Xenopus tropicalis: one gene and its partner. The protein of the gene in region 2 purifies or fractionates together with the protein of the main gene of each other region. This does not show direct contact. Links are inferred from orthologs where the notes say so. Each region holds a gene or a part of one and is shown on either strand. Other genes may lie near its edges. The genes, in order: akap9 and kcnq1.

Region 1 (9,308 bases), on a different chromosome or scaffold from region 2:
AGTTGATCTATGACTTGGCTCTGTTCTTCTACTAGCTTAACTTTATCATAATATTGCAGCAGCTCTATGTCCTTTTCTTTTATAGTTTGCTTAAGTTCCTGCAGCTTTGACTCCAAGCCATGAATAGTATCCTGCATAGCCTCATGCTGAACATAAAGTAGAGAATTTTCTAAAGGCTCTGATGTGGCTTCTGCCTCTTCCTCCTTATCATTTCTGAATTCCAATGTAACATTATTACATTCTTCATATACTTGTTTACTAGCTATTTGGCCTTCTCTCACACTTTTTAATTCTGTTTTTAGCAGCTCTATTTCAGTTCTGGTTTCCTCAAGTGCAGTTCTTGTAATGGCCAGTTCTGTATCACTGAGCTCCACCTTCTTCTGTAGCAAATCTTTTTCTGCCATAATGGTTTCCAGCTGGTGCTTACTACTATCTGCATCTTCTGTCATGCTGGTAACGTCCACTGACACTTTGTTGTCTATACTTGCTAATTCATCTTGAAGTTTCTCAATGACTTCATTAAGTTTTTCTATCTCTTCTTCACTGTTCCTCTTAAGACGTTCTTGGTCACTTTTTAAGCATTTTATTTGGCTCTTATATTCTTTAATTTGATTATTTTTATCTTCGATAGTCTGTAAAACATACAAAAATGAAGCAATTTAAAACAAGAAAAGGAAATACCTGTAATAATACATTCAGTGAATAGCCTTACAGCGCTGCGGAATATGTTGGCGCTTTATAAATAAATGTTAATAATAAATAAATAGCCCTCATGTAAAGATTTAAGGTGACTATGAGGTAACTATGACTAACAACTAGAACATTTCTGTTTTTTTTTTTATTAATATATATGAGGATCTTCCTCTAAATCAGAGTGCCCCCAGTACTACGGTATGTGCATTTACAGTCTCCAATACATGTTTTTTTTATATATTTCCATGGAAAATGTATGTAAACTCATCTAAAAAAAAGAAACAAATTTACTTTGTTATCTGTTGCGGTCTCAAGTTGTGCCTGCAGCCTCCCCACATGCTCATTCAGCTGATCAATTTCTTGTTCTTTCAAAAACAGAATGTCTTCAAACTCTTCTGGTTTCATGTGATGGGTCTTTATAGCAGAGCTTTGATTATCATGATCTACATTTTCATCCTTCAACAAATGCAAACAACAATTAGCATTTTAGATAAGTGCAGTAAATTTTGGGTATCATCTTTTCAACTAAGAAATATACCTTAATATTTTAAATTACCATTCAGATTTTCAGTGCAGAAAAAAAACTAATAAGGCTTAAGCCAATATAGCCCAAGTCCTTTCCTGATTCCAATAAGGCTATTATATTTATGCATTAAGAATTTTAACAACTGAGTGGTTGAAACCTCATCTGGAAATGTCTCACAATTATGCAGCACATCAGCCATTTCTAGCTCCAAAGACAAGGAATTCCATTATTGGAACATACTTATTTGCCTCTACATTTGTGAGTGACAACCCAAAGTGCAGTGTTTTAGTAATACAGAGTTACTCTGATTGAAGCAATGAAGTGATAGGTGACAAGGATCTCTCAAACACCATTGCCCAGAGCAAACAATTTTTTTTGTGTGTAATATATACAGCCTTAGACATATGGTGGTGAAACTCAAAAGTCTCTTAAGCTTTACATTAAGACACAAGCCCAGCACTAACAGAGTTGGCAGCACCACGTATGGCACACTGTTCCCGATTAGGTGCCACATTTGGTTACTTGCTAACAAAGGGCTGGACCATGGAGGGATATTGAGAGCTACTGCCTATTTAATGAAAGTCAAATTATCTCAATAAATATTTCTGTTATTCTGTTAGTTATAGCTGTTGTTGTGAGTGATATTGTGTACAGAAGAGGTTCTTTTTAAAACTGTAGCCTCTTGCAGGGCAGTACAAAGAACATAGACGAATACTGTTGTTGTCCTTTTTGTTCACCTTGAGCACTTTATTTTCCTGTTCCAGCTCCAGTAACCGGGTAGAAGATTCTTTTCTCTGAATTTCTAGCTGCATATGGAGCTGCTGTACTTCTTCATTCTTGTTTTCCAGTTCTTCTCGGAACTGTTCCAGCTGTTCTTCTAGGTTTGTGATCTGTGAGACAAGCACATGGAAAGTTGTATGTAAGAATGCAAGAACAAAAGGCAAACATTATTTATAATGGGATACAAAGGAAGGGTTTGTCCAGATCCGAAAGCTGTCGGTTTCATTTATTTTGGGAGGACAAGCAAAAATCCTACCACTCACATAATAAGTTTGTAATATCTGGCACTGTTTCACTGCACCCTGTGTACATTTTTCTGCAGCAGAGAAATTTTGACACCTCTCAAAAGGTGAAAAAAGCCCTTCTCAACATTTGCATTCTAGCAATCATAGGATCAATCAATATTTCCAAATGTTTCGATTCAGTATCTATTGTAGCAATAGGTCATAAAGCATTTTTGAAAAGACTTAATTTGAAGGTACTGCCATATAGAAAAGTCAGTCAACCTGTGTGGCTAATTTATCATCCTGTTCTATTGGTTGGTAGCAACCATCGCTACTTTCACTTTCCAAATCCTTGCTCCCTAATGCAAATTGCATGTAGGAAAAAAATTGTAGACAATTAAGATAAACTATTAATAAAAAGGTCTCAATGTCTTTTTTAATTAAGGGAATTCGCACCTCTTTTTCTTTTCGATCTATTGCGTCACGCTCCACTTGGAGTTGTGCTTCTAGAGGTATTTCTCCTTTGGAACTAATGACGATGGACTGTCTTCTGAGCTCCACCTTCAAGAAAATGTACATATTACTTAGACTTGTTTATTTAGTATTTAACTTTTCATCCCTCGTCCATCCCTAAATCAGCACACAAAAATCACATCAAAAAGCATTACAGATAGTTTGTGTAACCTATTCTGGTATTTGCCAGAATCAACAGATTGCCAGTCCATTTCTGAATTTATTTATTTATCTACAGAGAGTGAGTAACAACATTTAGGGGGTGGGGTAATCCTATTCTATTCCTAAAAACACACACACCCGTTACATGAATCTTCACTGGTGCTGTGCCTAAAGGTGGCCATACATGTACATGTTAAAGTTCAGGGCTAAATTGTCAGACATGGAGGTAGAAGTAGGGATTCTACCTTCACCTGCCGATTCAGCCCTAAACGCAGACTTTGCTCGGCCGCCTTTTTAACTCAGCCGATCGTCGAGACGACCGATATTTGCAGCCTTTGCAATACAGGTCGGCTCATCGATCCACTATACACACACACCGAATATCGTACTAAACAAGGTTTCATACGATAATATCAGTTAGTTTATGGCAAGTTTTGCGCCTCCATTTGTAAAGCTAATGCTTACTTAACAAATATTGGATCCAAGCACCACAGACACAAGATACAACAAGATAATTGGGTGTGGAGGATCCTTTTTCATTTTGCGTGTGTATGCACCTATCTAGCCATTATCACATATTAAGGTAGGGAGAAGGTCACAAGTAAATTAACTCACCTTCTTAAGGGTATCATCACTGATGAGCAAGGCCTGCTCCAGTTCCCTGATCCGACACTCCAGCTTCTCAATCTCTTCATTCCTTTCTTGAATATCCCGCTGGAACTGTTCTTTGCAGAGCAGCAGTTCATTGCATTTGTCTGTCTTTTCCTTTAGGTTAGTTTCCAGTTTTTCAAGCTTTTTTTAAAAAAATTTAAAAAAAAAAATCAACCAAAAATACCTCTTAAATTGTACATTCGTACATTGGTGGATGCATCTATTTGTATAATTAAACGTGTGAGTTATGGCACAATGTACACAGATCCAAAGGAATACTTTAATATTTAATGGGGCGATTCACTTAGTATATTATAGAATGTCCTATTCCTAGCAACTTTGCAATTGGTCATCATTTATTTTTATAGTTTTATTTTTTTAATTATTTACCTTCCTTTTCTGCCTTTTTTTAGCTTTCAGAGGGGGGTCACTGACAGCAGCAGACTTAAAACTATTGTTCTCTGAGGCTAAAATTCTATCGTTATTGTTACTTTTACTGCTTATCTTTGTACTCAGTCCTTTAACTATTCATATTCCATCTCTCATTCAAATTACTGGCTGGTTTCTTGGGTAATTAAGACATTAGCAACCAGATAGCTGCCGAAATACCAAACTGAAGAGCTGCTGAACAAAAAGCTAAATAACTGAAAAACCACAAAAAAAGAAGGCCTATTGCAAACATTATAAAAATGCACAATAAGGGAAACAAAGGAGCACTGGATCAACAGGTGCTATCGGATAAATACATAAAAACAGAGGTGGGTGTGTCAAAGTGACCTTTCTTATATTTCTTGACAAATTAATTTGTATTTTCCCAGCTTCTTCTATAGGTACAGATGATTCAGATATTTTCACTGGGAACATGATTATAGGCACAGGACCCAATGTACTACTGCAGTGCTGTCCAACTTCTACGGTGCCGAGGGCCGGAATTTCTCTAGCATACATGGTGGAGGGCCGCTAATGGAAGCCAGTTTTGACCACTCCCCTTTTTGAAACCACACCCACTTCAAACCACACCTATTTTATCACAATGGTGGTAACACAGCAAAATCCCAAATGCTTGGTCCTTACTGTGGGGATATCAACCATCATTCATATGTGAAAGAATTATGTCATATTAAGATATACCCTTAAATTCCATATGCCTCCTCCTCCCCTGTGGATAGCAGAGCAACCCCCAGTACATAATTACACACCTTAGGGACCATTTAATGGCTATTTCCAACTGCTAACAAACTCCCACAACAAACCCCTGCCAGGTTCACCTCCCACAAGCAGCATAGAGCAAGCAGAGTATGGCACACACAGGCAGCACTCTGCCTGTCCTACGCTGTCTGTGTGTGCCATACTCTGCCTGTCCTACCCTGCCTATGTGTGCCATACTCTGCCTTCTCTATGCTGCCTCTGTGTACCATACTCTGTCTGCCCTACCCTGACTGTGTGTGCCATACTCTGCCTGCCCTACCCTTCCTATGTGTGCCATACCCTCCCTGACCTATGCTGCCTGTGTGTGCCATACTCTACCTGCCCTATGCTGGCTGTATGTGCCATACTCTGCCTACAGTACCTATGTCTGAGGTGTGAAGAAGTGAACAATGGGAGTGATTACAGCCTGAGCCTGAGGTGTGAACACTGCAGGGGGTGAACCATGCAGGTATTAAAAGGTGTGAAAAACACAGGGGATTACATTTTTAAACAATACAGGGGGATTACAGCCTGAATCTGAGGTGAAAACCATGCAGGGGGCCAGTTAATCTCAGTACTGTTACCATTTAATGCTTACTCAAAGGTAAGCCATCAAAGCAGCCAGACAGGTGGGGGGCCACACAGAGGGGGGTCGCGGGCCGCATGCGGCCCGCGGGCCGCCAGTTGGACAGCACTGTACTACTGTATCAAGCACACTGCCAGCTGTTACTGTACAAAACGTGGTAAGCTTGATGGTATTTTCCAGCTGCCTCTGACTTGACACTGGACAGACTGATGTTCAATAAAAAGAACTAGTCTTTAAAAAAAGCTAATTATACAGGTATGGGATCTTTTATCCAAATTATAGGAAGGCTGTCTCCCACAGACTTCATAAGGTATGGAGATACAAATTATGTAAAGATCCTTATCTGGAAAACCCCAAGTCCTGAGCATTCTAGATAACAGGCCCTATACCTGTACAACAGAGCAAAGCACCTTTAATCTGCAGCAGTAAATAAAAACAAGAACCGCAGGAATACCACTGACCTAATGTAACGTAAGACTTATTTATGGTACACTGGGGAAAAATAAGGTAAAACCATATTCACAGGTAGATTTGCCTTCTTTTATACATGAACTGTGAATTCTTTTGTTTTTACCGCATTGCTTTGATGATCTGTAACAGGCTGGTGCCTTTGAGGCATTTTAAGTTGCTGCTCAAGTTTCAGGATTTCCTGCTGAAAAACATCTCTTTCATGCTCTCGATCCACTGCCTGCTCCTGGAACAGAAAATTCATAACAGCACTGTAAGAGCCGCAGGAATGGTACCACTGGAGGCACATTCTATCACCAATGTAAGGGCCATCGCCTCATGGCCATCCCACATTTTGACAACTGTGTGGCCAACAGAAAGCACAAACAATCAACAAACAGGACTAAAAAATTGTGTGGACATGGCAAATGCAAATTTTCAGTCACTGTAATTTACAAATGCAGCTGCAAGTGCGGTTGCACAAAAATTGACACATTCATTACTTGCTCCTTGCATTGCTATGTCTTTCCTGACACTTCAACTGAATCTTGTGAAATTGTGGCTATGGACGCTAAGGAGACCGGACCTGCCATCCTGAACATAAAGGAAATTCCGGCTTGCAAATACTCACAGAAAAACAGAATTTGTTGTGGTGCAGCTGCAATTACTCTGGAATCATTCTGCATTGTGGGTAAAAAAATGGTGCTGTGTGTACGAAAACTGCCTTTGCACACTGCACTGTGTTCATCAATGACCCCTATTGTTGGAAAGTGTTAACACTTTTAACCAGTATGCTATGTTGATTTAGCCCCTCTTTATAACTTACATCTAAAAATTTGCGGGTCTTTTCAAGCTGTTTTTCCAAGGACAGATTCTTTTGTTGGAGGTCTTCTAGATCTGAATTCTTTTCTTGCTCTATTTCCAGGTTCCGGCTCATCTGTTCTTCCAGTTCTGTTTCCAGCACTTTGACCTGTTTGTAAAGGTCCCCTGAGTCCTTTTCTGCTTGACGTTGCACCTCTATCTTCTCCTTTAGCAGTTTCTCAGTTTCCTCTATCAACTCTGTTTATACAAAAGGTCCCCAGAAAGAAGTTAGCTGGATTGCTTTGGTGTTGCCTTTCCAAGCCATCATAAATGCCCCACTGGAAAGCTCTCATCAGGCTAAGGAAATATATTGGATTTGATTGATATATCAGAACTTTATGTGTATTGCAGGAAAGGTCTCTGTGATAATATTTGAACACAGACTTTGTTTTATGCAGTGTTCTGTTTTGCATGAAAGGTTACAAATACTATCACTGCTTTATAAAGCACCAACATATACCTAAAGTAGAAAATTAACAGCGCTAATTATTTAAACTGGCCTTTTGCTAGTACTTATATACCGCATCACTAGTTAGAAAAGCTTACCCAAGACCTTATATAAAAGGTTTACCACTACAGCTTCTACCACTAGTTATGCAGCTATGTGATATCTTATAAGATTATATAAAATTACTTGAAGGAGTTGTAACACTTTTAAATGAGTAAAGGTGGCCATACAAGAGCCAATAAAAGATGCCGGCAGGTGCCTTCCTGACTGAATTCTGGCCAAAAATCAAATCCCATCAGGATGAGGAACACCATTTGCTTGTTGGTGAAGTATTTGCCCCGACGGCCTACATCGGGCTAAACATGCATATCAATCCGATATCAAGGTGGGCATATCAGGGAAAAAATCCGCTCATTTGGCAACCATGCTAAACACGTGGATCTTTCACTGTACAGCCAGCTTTACTTTGGGGAGCTAATTTGTTCACAAGATACTGCTTTCCATATCTTACTGCATTATCTGCAGCACAAATATACTCTATGGCTGAATACAATAGGTTTCCAGCACACGTGGGAAGTTTATCAGAGGGGTGCATGCAGCATCATATGTTCACCTCCACATACCTTTAGACCTCAATATATCGAAATTGCAACACTCCCATTTCATAAGCATAAAACGCCTTTATTTTACATATGGCACAGACACAGCAACGTTTTGGACCTCCTGGTCCTTTCTCAAGCTAACAAAACGAAAAAGAAAAAAGCTTGAGAAAGGACCGGGAGGTCCAAAACGTTGCTGTGTCTGTGCCATATGTAAAATAAAGGCGGTTTTACGAATATAAATAGGGGGTTTTGCAATTTCGATATATACTCTATGGCTACCCTATGGGAAATATTTTCCAGTAACCAGATCTGGCAAAAAATGTCACTGCAACTATTACATTAACAAAATATTACTTTACAATAACTTTTTCATTAACTGTATTACATATTTATTCTGCTGATGGATTATTCTGATAATGGATTTCATCTTCTGGACATGCCAACTGATTCTATTACCCTGGTATAAAAATACACTGCAATTACACATTGTTTGATATATGAATAAATAAAATCCAATATTTTTTCCTAGAATAGCCTATAGGCCAGAAGATACACACCCAATCCAGTGCAGATGTACAGTTTAATACAGTTCTTGTTGTTTAGAATTTAAGAGAAACAGCAAACGCCTAGTACTCTTACTAGAGAGGAGAACCTTCACAAACAGGGTTAATGTGAAAAAGCCACAAGAAAGAAAATCACCGAATAAAACAAGTGCAATTTTCTTATCTCTTATCAGAACCTGCCTTACACCATCATCTTACTGATTATATGAATGCTTTAATCATCAAAAAATCATGTTGTATTTTGATCATGACTTTTTTTTCTGTGTAGGAATGGATAAGATGATGGTTATTCACAAATATGGATGCATGTTAGAGACAATGAGCAGATATGAAAAGGAAACCCCAGATTAGTCCATTGCTTGGTAAAGCGGGATAAGCGCCTTATAGAAAATAATCAGTGCCAGAGGGAAAGACATAATGCAGCATTTGCAAGTTAATATGTTAGTGCAAGCAACAGAATCCCCCAAACCAATGATTAATTCAATCTTCCCAATCCGTGATTAGGCACCCAATTACAATTGGCCATGCGGGATACAAACACACCTTCTGTGGGAGCTGCATCGACTGCAGCTGCTACTAAGCCTAGGAGAACAGAGAAAGAAAACAAATGCAGAGTAATTCACATGCCGTCTAGCGTTCTTCCGCAATGTGACAATGCTAGAGAGGAAAGAGCAGCAGACATGGGGGTGAATTATGACAAGAAACACGATGGCTGGATAGTCAAGGAAAGGATATGATGCTCCTAGGTGTATTCAAGTACTACTGGTCCATCCAAATCCATGGATTTCCCTTAGCCAACAGTATAAGGCAAATCCAAGGAGATCCTGATTTTTGTTGGACTTACTACAATGATGGTCTCACTTGTGCTGGAGGTTATACATACATCCTGCTTGTAAAATATATTTTTTTATTTTTCTCAATATGTTCCCATAAAAAGGCCACACTAAAGCCTTTACAATGGTAAATCAGTCGAAGGCAGGTGACTGAAATCCTTAACATTTTTATGAGGCAGCGTTTTCCTTTTAAACACTGAATAAGAGCATGTTCTTTTCAAAAGATTTGCT
Region 2 (9,308 bases):
TGCTATAAATGTGGCACGGAAGCATCTTAAATCATTTCAACATCAGGAAGCGATGAAGGACACACAATTCTCACCTTAAAAAGAACTAGTGCATCGTTCCAAAGAAACATGGGTCCCATAGGCAGCCATAGGGCAATTACTGGGATTCTGGCACCATCCTTATAGTGTTGAAACAATGCAGTGGGTAAAATCACCAAACTGCTGGGGTTTACACCTGTCCCTGGCCTCAGATACAGCCAAGTCCATGGGCTTTCTGTCCATAGCAAGACAGAGAGTTCCCCACCTACTATCCTTTATGGATCTTTTCAAGCAGAAAGTCCATGGATATTAACAGAAGACTGCATCGTTTTTGCTTCTATACTGTATCCAACAACCCGAAAGGCAGACATAGCACAATTTAGCAGTGAGCGTGAAGGGTTCTCATTGGTGGATCCTCTGAAGTGTCCTTGGAGAGTTGGGAAAAAGTCTAATTATGCTTACGAATCGGTCCCTGACAAAACGTAGCCCTCGGATAATATTTTGGAATACGCAGAATTCCAGCATCATCTGGTAGCCAAAGTAGTAATGTCAACTGGTCATTAACGATATCCTAGTGCTTATTTTCCATCATGTCTATCTCCACCTATGGCTCCCAATACAGATTCACTGGCAGCCATCCTATATGTATGTCACAGTGATGTCCATCAACACAGCCTTGTTGGTCTGAGGCAATATAAAAACATACCAACAGAATTAGCATTTCCTGAGCTACATCTACACCTAGAGAGCCTATTATAGCCTTCATGTGTCAGAAAGGAAGAGTCACACCCTGCTTGATGCATAACAAAAAAAAATGTATCATTTCCTCTGCATCCTTTTCCCCTTTAAATCGTTCTGTTCTCCAATGAGATGACAGTTTCTACTATTTTCCAGTAAAAGTGTCTCCCATGGGATGCAGCTAACCATCTCATGCTTCTTGACACAATGCAATGCCCACAAATGTGGATGTGAAACACAGCTGGATAAACATTTGTCCATTTTGTTGGAACTTGTAATGGACAAATCATAGATTATTATTATACATGATCATATTAGTCCCTCGACCATGGAGCTTACAATCTAAGGTCACATTTACATACACTAGGGTCTGTATGGTTCTGTAGTATGGGAGGGAACCGGAGTACCCAAGGGAAACCCACCCAATAGCAGCCAATTACTTACCTGTATTCTCATATGCCTCCACTGAATACCCATCATTCTTTCTATCGTCGGCTACGTGATCGTAGGTAATATTCGGAATGTTTAGCATTTTGTCTGTAGAGCCTTCCTCTCTATCTGTACGAATTTTTTTCTTTTTAACCTAGAATTGATGACAAAAAGACATCATAGATAGCACCCATACTAGATTATATATATACAGGTATGGGATCCCTTATCTGGAAATCCGTTATCTAGAAAGCTCCGAATTACGGAAAGCCAGTCTCCCATAGACTCCATTTTAATCAAATAATTCAGAATTTAAAAACTGCTTTCTTTTTTCTCTGTAATAATAAAACAGTACCTTGTAACTGATCCCAACTAAGATATAATTACCCCTTATTGGGGGCAGAACAGTCCTATTGGGTTTATTTAATGGTTAAATGATTCCCTTTTCTCTGTAATAATAAAACAGTACCTTGTACTTGATCCCAACTAAGATATAATTACCCCTTATTGGGGCAGAACAGCCCTATTGGGTTTATTTAATGGTTAAATGATTCCCTTTTCTCTGTAATAATAAAACAGTACCTGTACTTGATCCCAACTAAGATATAATTACCCCTTATTGGGGCAGAACAGCCCTATTGGGTTTATTTAATGGTTAAATGATTCCCTTTTCTCTGTAATAATAAAACAGTACCTGTACTTGATCCCAACTAAGATATAATTACCCCTTATTGGGGCAGAACAGCCCTATTGGGTTTATTTAATGGTTAAATGATTCCCTTTTCTCTGTAATAATAAAACAGTACCTGTACTTGATCCCAACTAAGATATAATTAATCCTTATTGGATGCAAAACAATCCTATTGGGTTTAATTAATGTTTTATTGATTTTTTTTAGTAGACTTAAGGTATGGAGATCCAAATTACGGAAATACCCCTTATCTGGAATACCCTTGGTCCCGAGAATTCTGGATAACAATACCTGTACCAGCTCATTTTCTGAAGTACAGGTATGTTCAATTCCACCCATGGGTGGGTGCCATCTGCCCTCTGTGCCATGCACGGATAATAATTAGGTGCAAGAAGCAAGGGTTGTGAGGCCCAAGGTCCCTACCATAAATACAAGTGCAGGGCTCTCTATTACTTGTCTGGCACTCCCCAGCCTGGAGCCAAGCAATTACTAGACAGACTAAAGGTGGCCATACACGAGGCGATTTCGCTCGTTGTGCGATGAACGATTATATCGACAAACGATCGTATGGCGATCGAGTTCCCATACGATATGCCATCCACGGGCAACGATAATTCGGGAAAGATTTTGTCGCATCATTATCGTAAGATACCTACGATCGTACATCTACGTACGATCGATGTCGTTGCTGGCAATCGTGACATGCGCAGAGAACAATCGTTGAAAGACAAATGTCTGACACTCACACCAACTGGCAGATTTTATCGTTAAACGACCAAAATTTTTAAACCTGGCCGATCGATTTTGGGGACGATAATGTCGGCTCGTTTAGTGGGCCGACGATCGTTCGTACACCACCAACTATACGATAACTTAACGATAGCATCGGATCGTTCGGGAATCGGTCGTTTGTAAGTAAAAAATCGGTCCGTGTATGGCCACCTTAACAGACAGAAACAAGATAAGAACTATTTATACCAGTACCATGGCGGATTTCTTGGGCTTCGGGCTGGGCGACAAAATATGATGATTTCGCGACTGTTTCCGAATGTAGATTTTCCATGTTGCCGAATCAGGATTTTCCGCTGCGTAGCACCGCCACGCTGTCTGAAACACAGGACATAAAATTACCGGAAAGCCACTAATACAGCTGTTTGATTACAGAATGGACATTGTTCCCATGATGCCTCCTGATGACAAGAAGGAGAGAGAAATAAAATGACCTCCCTTTACATGAAGCGATTAACAAAAAACTGTAGAAATGGGAATGAAGGAAAGTCTCCTGAAAAGGGAAAATTAATTGTATAAAAATGGTCACATTATCTGTGATCTTATATTATATTGGGACCCTGCCCATCCAGATTTGGTCCAGTACTTCAGGACAGCAAGATGTTTTCAAGTCCCACTTTGTGGGTGGGTATAGACATAAATACTGGCGCCAATGTCCCTACAAAGCCTTTGGACAAGTGTCAGAACCAAACACAATTTGCAACCCAACCATCAATGATGATTCCCCCTCTCAAATGATGGATGCTGGTTAAGCTAATGCAAGGCAACAAGCTTACCCAGAAATATAATATCCCTCAAGGAGAACATTAGCAGGCTATGCAGTTAGCATAATCCAGCCACCAGCTACTGGCAACAGATAGATCACCTACACATGCCTGGAAACTATTTACAAAACAGATCCACTTTAATAAAAGAACAATATAAATTATTTACTCCAACTTGAGCTGCAGAGTGGAGGAAAGCTTCACTATATAAAGAAATGAGAGAAAGGTCTGGGGAAAGCCCTAAACACAAAGAAATGGTAGAGGAAGGGAATTATATTGTGCCTTATGGAAACTCTTAATTTGTTTCATAGATATTACACCATATCTACCCAAATAATTCCTCTGTTTTAGAACCTGTGCAGCGACTGGCGGCATAAGGCATAATTGGTGGTCCTGGGACAAGCTTTGAGCCCTAAGGCAGGGGTCCCCAACCTTTCTTACTCGTGAGCCACAGTCAAATGTAAATAGACTTGGAGAGCAACACAAGCACCATAAAAGTTCATGGAGGTGCCAAATAAGGGCTGTGATTGGCTATTAGACAGCCTCTATGCACCCTATCAGCCCCCTGGCTTTATTTGGTAAATCTTGTTTTTATTCAACTAAAACTTGGCCCCAAGTCAGGAATTCAAAAATAACTACCTGGTTTGGGGGCACTGAGAGCAACATCCAAGGGGTTGGGGAGCAACATGTTGCCCCCGAGCCACTGGTTGGGATCACTGCCCTAAGGTGACCCCCTCTGCCATGGGGCCCCAAAATGCAGTAACCCCTGTACCCCACTGTGTGTTTCCCTTTTGACATGGGTACCCTAGAGCTAGTGCCACCTTCAAGCTGGCAGTAATTCCAGATTGCTACTGAATAATGCAGCAAATTTGCCCCAAAGAATAATGCACATGTGCCACTTTTTAGTGATGGAAATAATACCATCCAGACTCGTGCAATTTGTGTCAATGTGAAGGTACAGCAGGGCATTGGGTGCAAATGCTTCAGACACCAACTCCCCCTCTCTATGGGTGACAAATACTGCATATTGGGTAAAAAAAACATATAGAACTACATCCAAAATTGCACTAGTTCATTTTTTCACTGAAAACATGATTTCTACCTGAATGAGAGATGCGGCTGCTGGGATCTGACGATTAAAGTGCTTCTGTCTCTGTTTCTGTTGCACTTTTAAGGCAAAACCAGAACCAAGGATCCCCTATATACAAAACAGGAAAAACATGGAAATGAGTTGCCTTAGCAAAGGGAAAAGAAAGCATATACACAGAGCCATTACTCTCCTAACTACAGGGATTAGAAACGGAGCTATACAGCTCAGCACCAGTTACACTAGCCTTTGGATAAACCTATGCAAAGTGACTTTCCTAGAAATATTATCAAAGGCGCTATTGTTTTTCAGTTACTCTGCTGTTTGTATTTATGGTCGAAAATGGATATTTCGAAATTGCTTCTCCGCTCTGCTTCCCTTCTGTATTTACGACAGTCCTAATCATCAAAGATATGCTTGGCATCTACACCATGACCTTATATATTTTTAGCCTTGAATCTCTGCTGTGCTGTTCTCATGTCTGAGCTCTGGCAGAGCACAACGGCCGCACCAACCTAGGGTTGTAAGGGGATAAACAGATTTTATTGTTCTTTGCTATAGGAGCAGCTTTGCAGTCTTGGGAACTGCTGAGGGGACACTACCCCTACTATTGTTAAACAGCCGATATCATGAAAACTAAAAGAGAAAAACACTAATTGCAGAAGGGATCAGAAGAGCAATGTTTAAGTAGCGTGGGTGCGTCTGCTTTCCCTTCTATTTGAGGGGCTGATTTCCTATAAGGACTAGATACTAACTGGGGATGTCCAGGAACAGGTACATACCGCCGGTAAGGCAAAGAAAGAAATGGCAAAGACTGAGAAGCAGGAAGCAATGGTTTTCCCAATCCACGTCTGAGGAACTTTGTCTCCATATCCAATAGTTGTAACTGTCACCTAATAAAAGAAACTGGTGTTAATATGCAGGAGGCAAACCAGTAAAAACTGTGGGGCTTATATAATAAATTGCACACATAGTAACCAATCATATCCAAAGATAGAGAACAACACCCTAAGAACACCACAAAGACTAAAAAAAAGCAGCTATTGCTTTACCAGGCTATCAAAAAGCAGGGAAGCACAGCAGGGTTGGTGGGCGCCAACTTGCACCAATTGAAGCTGATTCGGCCTTGCTATAACAGCCTGTGCTAAGTGGCGGCTATCACAGTGAAGAGGGCCCAAACAGGACTGAGATGGCACGTGCAAACCCTGCTGTGCTACTATGTACCCGTGGTGCAGTTTTGGTTTCACTACTGAAACCAAAAGATGCATTTTAAACCATAAGGGTTGATGTTCTATTGGGCTCCATAGAGCATATCTCCATAGAGAATATCAAAACTTAAATTTTTTGCCCCCTAACAATTCAGTTTATTGGCAGCTCCCATACAGCAGGATCCTACGGCCGCCATGTCTATATGATTAGGCTTCATTAGGTAAGCAGGCTACTCACCACTCCCCACCAAAGTGCATCGGCATAACTGCCAAACTGGTATTCACCGGAACTATCAATAGCATCTTTTTCGGCAAGATAAACAAAATAGGATGAGAAGATCAAGCCCAGAAATCCAATGTACAACGTCGTTATCAGTTCCTGGAATCCAAAAGAGAGAGAGAGAATAAAATGGCATACACTGATTGGTGCAAAATTCATAAAGTTGATTATCTGGTGCCTCTTATGGAGACATCTGGTACAATGTCAGTGGCTTGTTGGCATCAGGTCCGAAAAAGGTGGAGAATGATTCTTTGTTTTGTGCTTCCAAACATTATCACCATCTGCATGAAACCCTAGAACCCTTCTAAATTGTGCCATTTCATTGGCGCACTGGTGTCGTTACTGTACAGCAGATCCCATGACTGTGGGGGGGTGGACCAGGAAAGAAAGGAGCCAGGTAGGCAACAACACCCCCCAGTCTCCTTCCTGTGACCATTGCATACGTATTTAGGGGGAGGTGGGGGGATTGCTGGTGAAACAATGTGCAGAGGAGCCCCAAAACTGTGTGCTGGGTAAATCAATATATACCACTTTCCTGGTGTAATGTTGCTACCGCTCTGGAGACGCTGGAGGTGCCATCTCCAATCATTAAGATTTTTGGGGTCTTGCATATGGCTCTTGACTGCCACATATTATAGAACAAGCACCGGTCAAAACCATCAGTGCATTGTGATGCAGTTACAGCGTTCCACGATAGAGATAAAGGGGTGTCTTTATTAACACTGGGGACAGACATCACCAGTGATGTTGCCCATAGCAACCAATCCGCTATTGGATTTGAACAGTCATCTACAAGTTAGAAAACAAAAGCAAAGATCTGATTGGTTGCTATGGGCCACATCATCAGTGATGTTTGTGTGCAATGTTAATAAATAATCTTGGCAACATGAGGTAAGGGAGTGCTATAGAAATACACATTATACACACTCACTATTAGAGTGTTAGCCATGACACTAGTAAAATAATGTCACTAGTGGTATGGAGTTAACTTGGTAGAGCACATTCCCACTAAATTTCCACTTCCTGCCATAGTTTATTGGATCTTCCTGTCCAGGAAAGGAGAAACATAAAAACAAATTCTTCTCCAAGGCTAAATAAAATGCCGTAAAAACCCTAAATTGTTATAGTAATAACACAATAAGCCCTTTTAGAAAATGTTGAAGTTATGACAGGTTTCCCAGCCTCTTGCATATTTAAAGGACATGTAAACCCTACATTTTCCTACTATGTATATAAGTTGGGCACATCTCCCCCACCTAAACCAGAACACTTGTATTGCATACATCCCCTCTGGTTGCCAGCACCATCACATAGCAGCTTTCACCTGGTGGCCATTTTTCACCAAACGGCACATGTGTGCTGTAAAGTTCATGCAATGAACAATGCAGGCTTACACAGGCAGAATTTACTTTAATAAAATGTTCTCCTCGGATTCAGCACTGCAGTGGTTAAGCTGAGCTCAGTTAGAAGAAAAAGTGCACAGCTAGAGCAGTTTCTATGGAAACCAGAGGTGCCATCTCTTCATTGGCTGCTAGACTGGAGGGTGTGTTTAGTAACCTAAGTTGAGAAGAACTGAGCATGCTCATTTAGCCAGGAGCCAAAGTTAATTCCTGAGGGAGGGGCCCCAAGCGGGTTAGAGGAGGAGAAAGAATCCCAAGTGATTAAGGGGATGCTGCAGCCTTACTATTAACCTTTTAACAACAGGAGTGGTGGGTATTTAAAGATTGCAAAGAGGCTGTTCACTAATCACATTTTTTGTGGGGGGGTTTACATGTCCTTTAAGACCCTAGTTCAAAAACTCATAAACCTTAAAAATGACTTAACATGTCCTAGGGCTCCTCTGAGCACTTTTGAAAAATTAATGAATTCATAAAGTATGTTAGACTGCTTATACCAAGCTTCTGGATTAACAGCTCTCGCTGTATTGGCACGCAAGGCCAATATGGGTCAGAACCCCCATTCTAGAAATCATGCTGGTTATTCAACTTTCTCAGCACATCTGAGAGGTCATTGGCTGATCAATATGTACCAGAGGCAGCCTCTGAGTTTTTCTTTCTGTGAACCAGTTATAAGTGCATTGGAGTCAGTAGAGGCATCATGACAACCTCAGTGAAACTGGCCTCTAACTTACAAAGATAAATGATAAATACTGTTGTGTTGTGGATCTACAAGATTTTATATAGTAAATGTGGGAGCAGCGCTCCCACCATTTCCTATGTTTTCGGACAAAAAGCTGACACTCTATGGAGCCCATTTACTTACTCACGAACCGGCCGAATGCGTCCGATTGCGTTTTTTTCGTAATGATCGGTATTTGCCGATTTTTTCGGAAAATTATCGCGCCTTTTTCGTAGCCATTCCGAAAGTTGCACAAAATGTTGCGATTTTTTCGTAGTGTTCGGATTCATTCAAGCTTCAGCATGGTGACTTTTCTTGGGCCAGGTTGGAGCTGCAGGGTGCCATTGAGCCCTATGGGAGACTTTCCTTGGGCCAGGTTGGAGCTGCAGAGTGCCATTGAGCCCTATGGGAGACTTTCCTTGGGCCGGGTTGGAGCTGCAGAGTGCCATTGAGCCCTATGGGAGACTTTCCTTGGGCCAGGTTGGAGCTGCAGAGTGCCATTGAGCCCTGTGGGAGACTTTCCTTGGGCCGGGTTGGAGCTGCAGAGTGCCATTGAGCCCTATGGGAGACTTTCCTTGGGCCGGGTTGGAGCTGCAGAGTGCCATTGAGCCCTATGGGAGACTTTCCTTGGGCCAGGTTGGAGCTGCAGAGTGCCAGTGAGCCCTATGGGAGACTTTCCTTGGGCCGGGTTGGAGCTGCAGAGTGCCATTGAGCCCTATGGGAGACTTTCCTTGGGCCGGGTTGGAGCTGCAGAGTGCCATTGAGCCCTATGGGAGGCTTTCCTTGGGCCAGGTTGGAGCTGCAGAGTGCCATTGAGTCCTATGGGAGACTTTCCTTGGGCCGGGTTGGAGCTGCAGAGTGCCATTGAGCCCTATGGGAGACTTTCCTTGGGCCAGGTTGGAGCTGCAGAGTGCCAGTGAGCCCTATGGGAGACTTTCCTTGGGCCAGGTTGGAGCTGCAGAGTGCCATTGAGCCCTATGGGAGACTTTCCTTGGGCCAGGTTGGAGCTGCAGAGTGCCATTGAGCCCTATGGGAGACTTTCCTTGGGCCGGGTTGGAGCTGCAGAGTGCCATTGAGCCCTATGGGAGACTTTCCTTGGGCCAGGTTGGAGCTGCAGAGTGCCATTGAGCCCTATGGGAGACTTTCCTTGGGCCGGGTTGGAGCTGCAGAGTGCCATTGAGTCCTA

The links.
Region 1: the proteins of kcnq1 (region 2) and akap9 purify together in Homo sapiens (affinity purification with western blotting; 3 studies listed by BioGRID and IntAct, with this or other methods). This does not show direct contact. The link is inferred for Xenopus tropicalis from reciprocal best matches to the Homo sapiens genes KCNQ1 and AKAP9.

The regions. Positions count from the first base shown.
Region 1 is NC_030682.2:31,554,056-31,563,363, reverse strand, and holds part of akap9 (A-kinase anchor protein 9), read right to left. Parts: intron 8,827-9,308; coding exon 8,788-8,826; intron 6,830-8,787; coding exon 6,597-6,829; intron 6,018-6,596; coding exon 5,898-6,017; intron 3,691-5,897; coding exon 3,514-3,690; intron 2,785-3,513; coding exon 2,680-2,784; intron 2,110-2,679; coding exon 1,957-2,109; intron 1,150-1,956; coding exon 985-1,149; intron 633-984; coding exon 1-632. UniProt on the Homo sapiens protein: Scaffolding protein that assembles several protein kinases and phosphatases on the centrosome and Golgi apparatus. Required to maintain the integrity of the Golgi apparatus. Required for microtubule nucleation at the cis-side of the Golgi apparatus.
Region 2 is NC_030680.2:25,059,664-25,068,971, reverse strand, and holds part of kcnq1 (potassium voltage-gated channel subfamily KQT member 1), read right to left. Parts: intron 6,104-9,308; coding exon 5,963-6,103; intron 5,410-5,962; coding exon 5,299-5,409; intron 4,628-5,298; coding exon 4,532-4,627; intron 2,984-4,531; coding exon 2,861-2,983; intron 1,340-2,860; coding exon 1,201-1,339; intron 1-1,200. UniProt on the Homo sapiens protein: Pore-forming subunit of the voltage-gated potassium (Kv) channel involved in the regulation of cardiomyocyte excitability and important in normal development and functions of myocardium, inner ear, stomach and colon.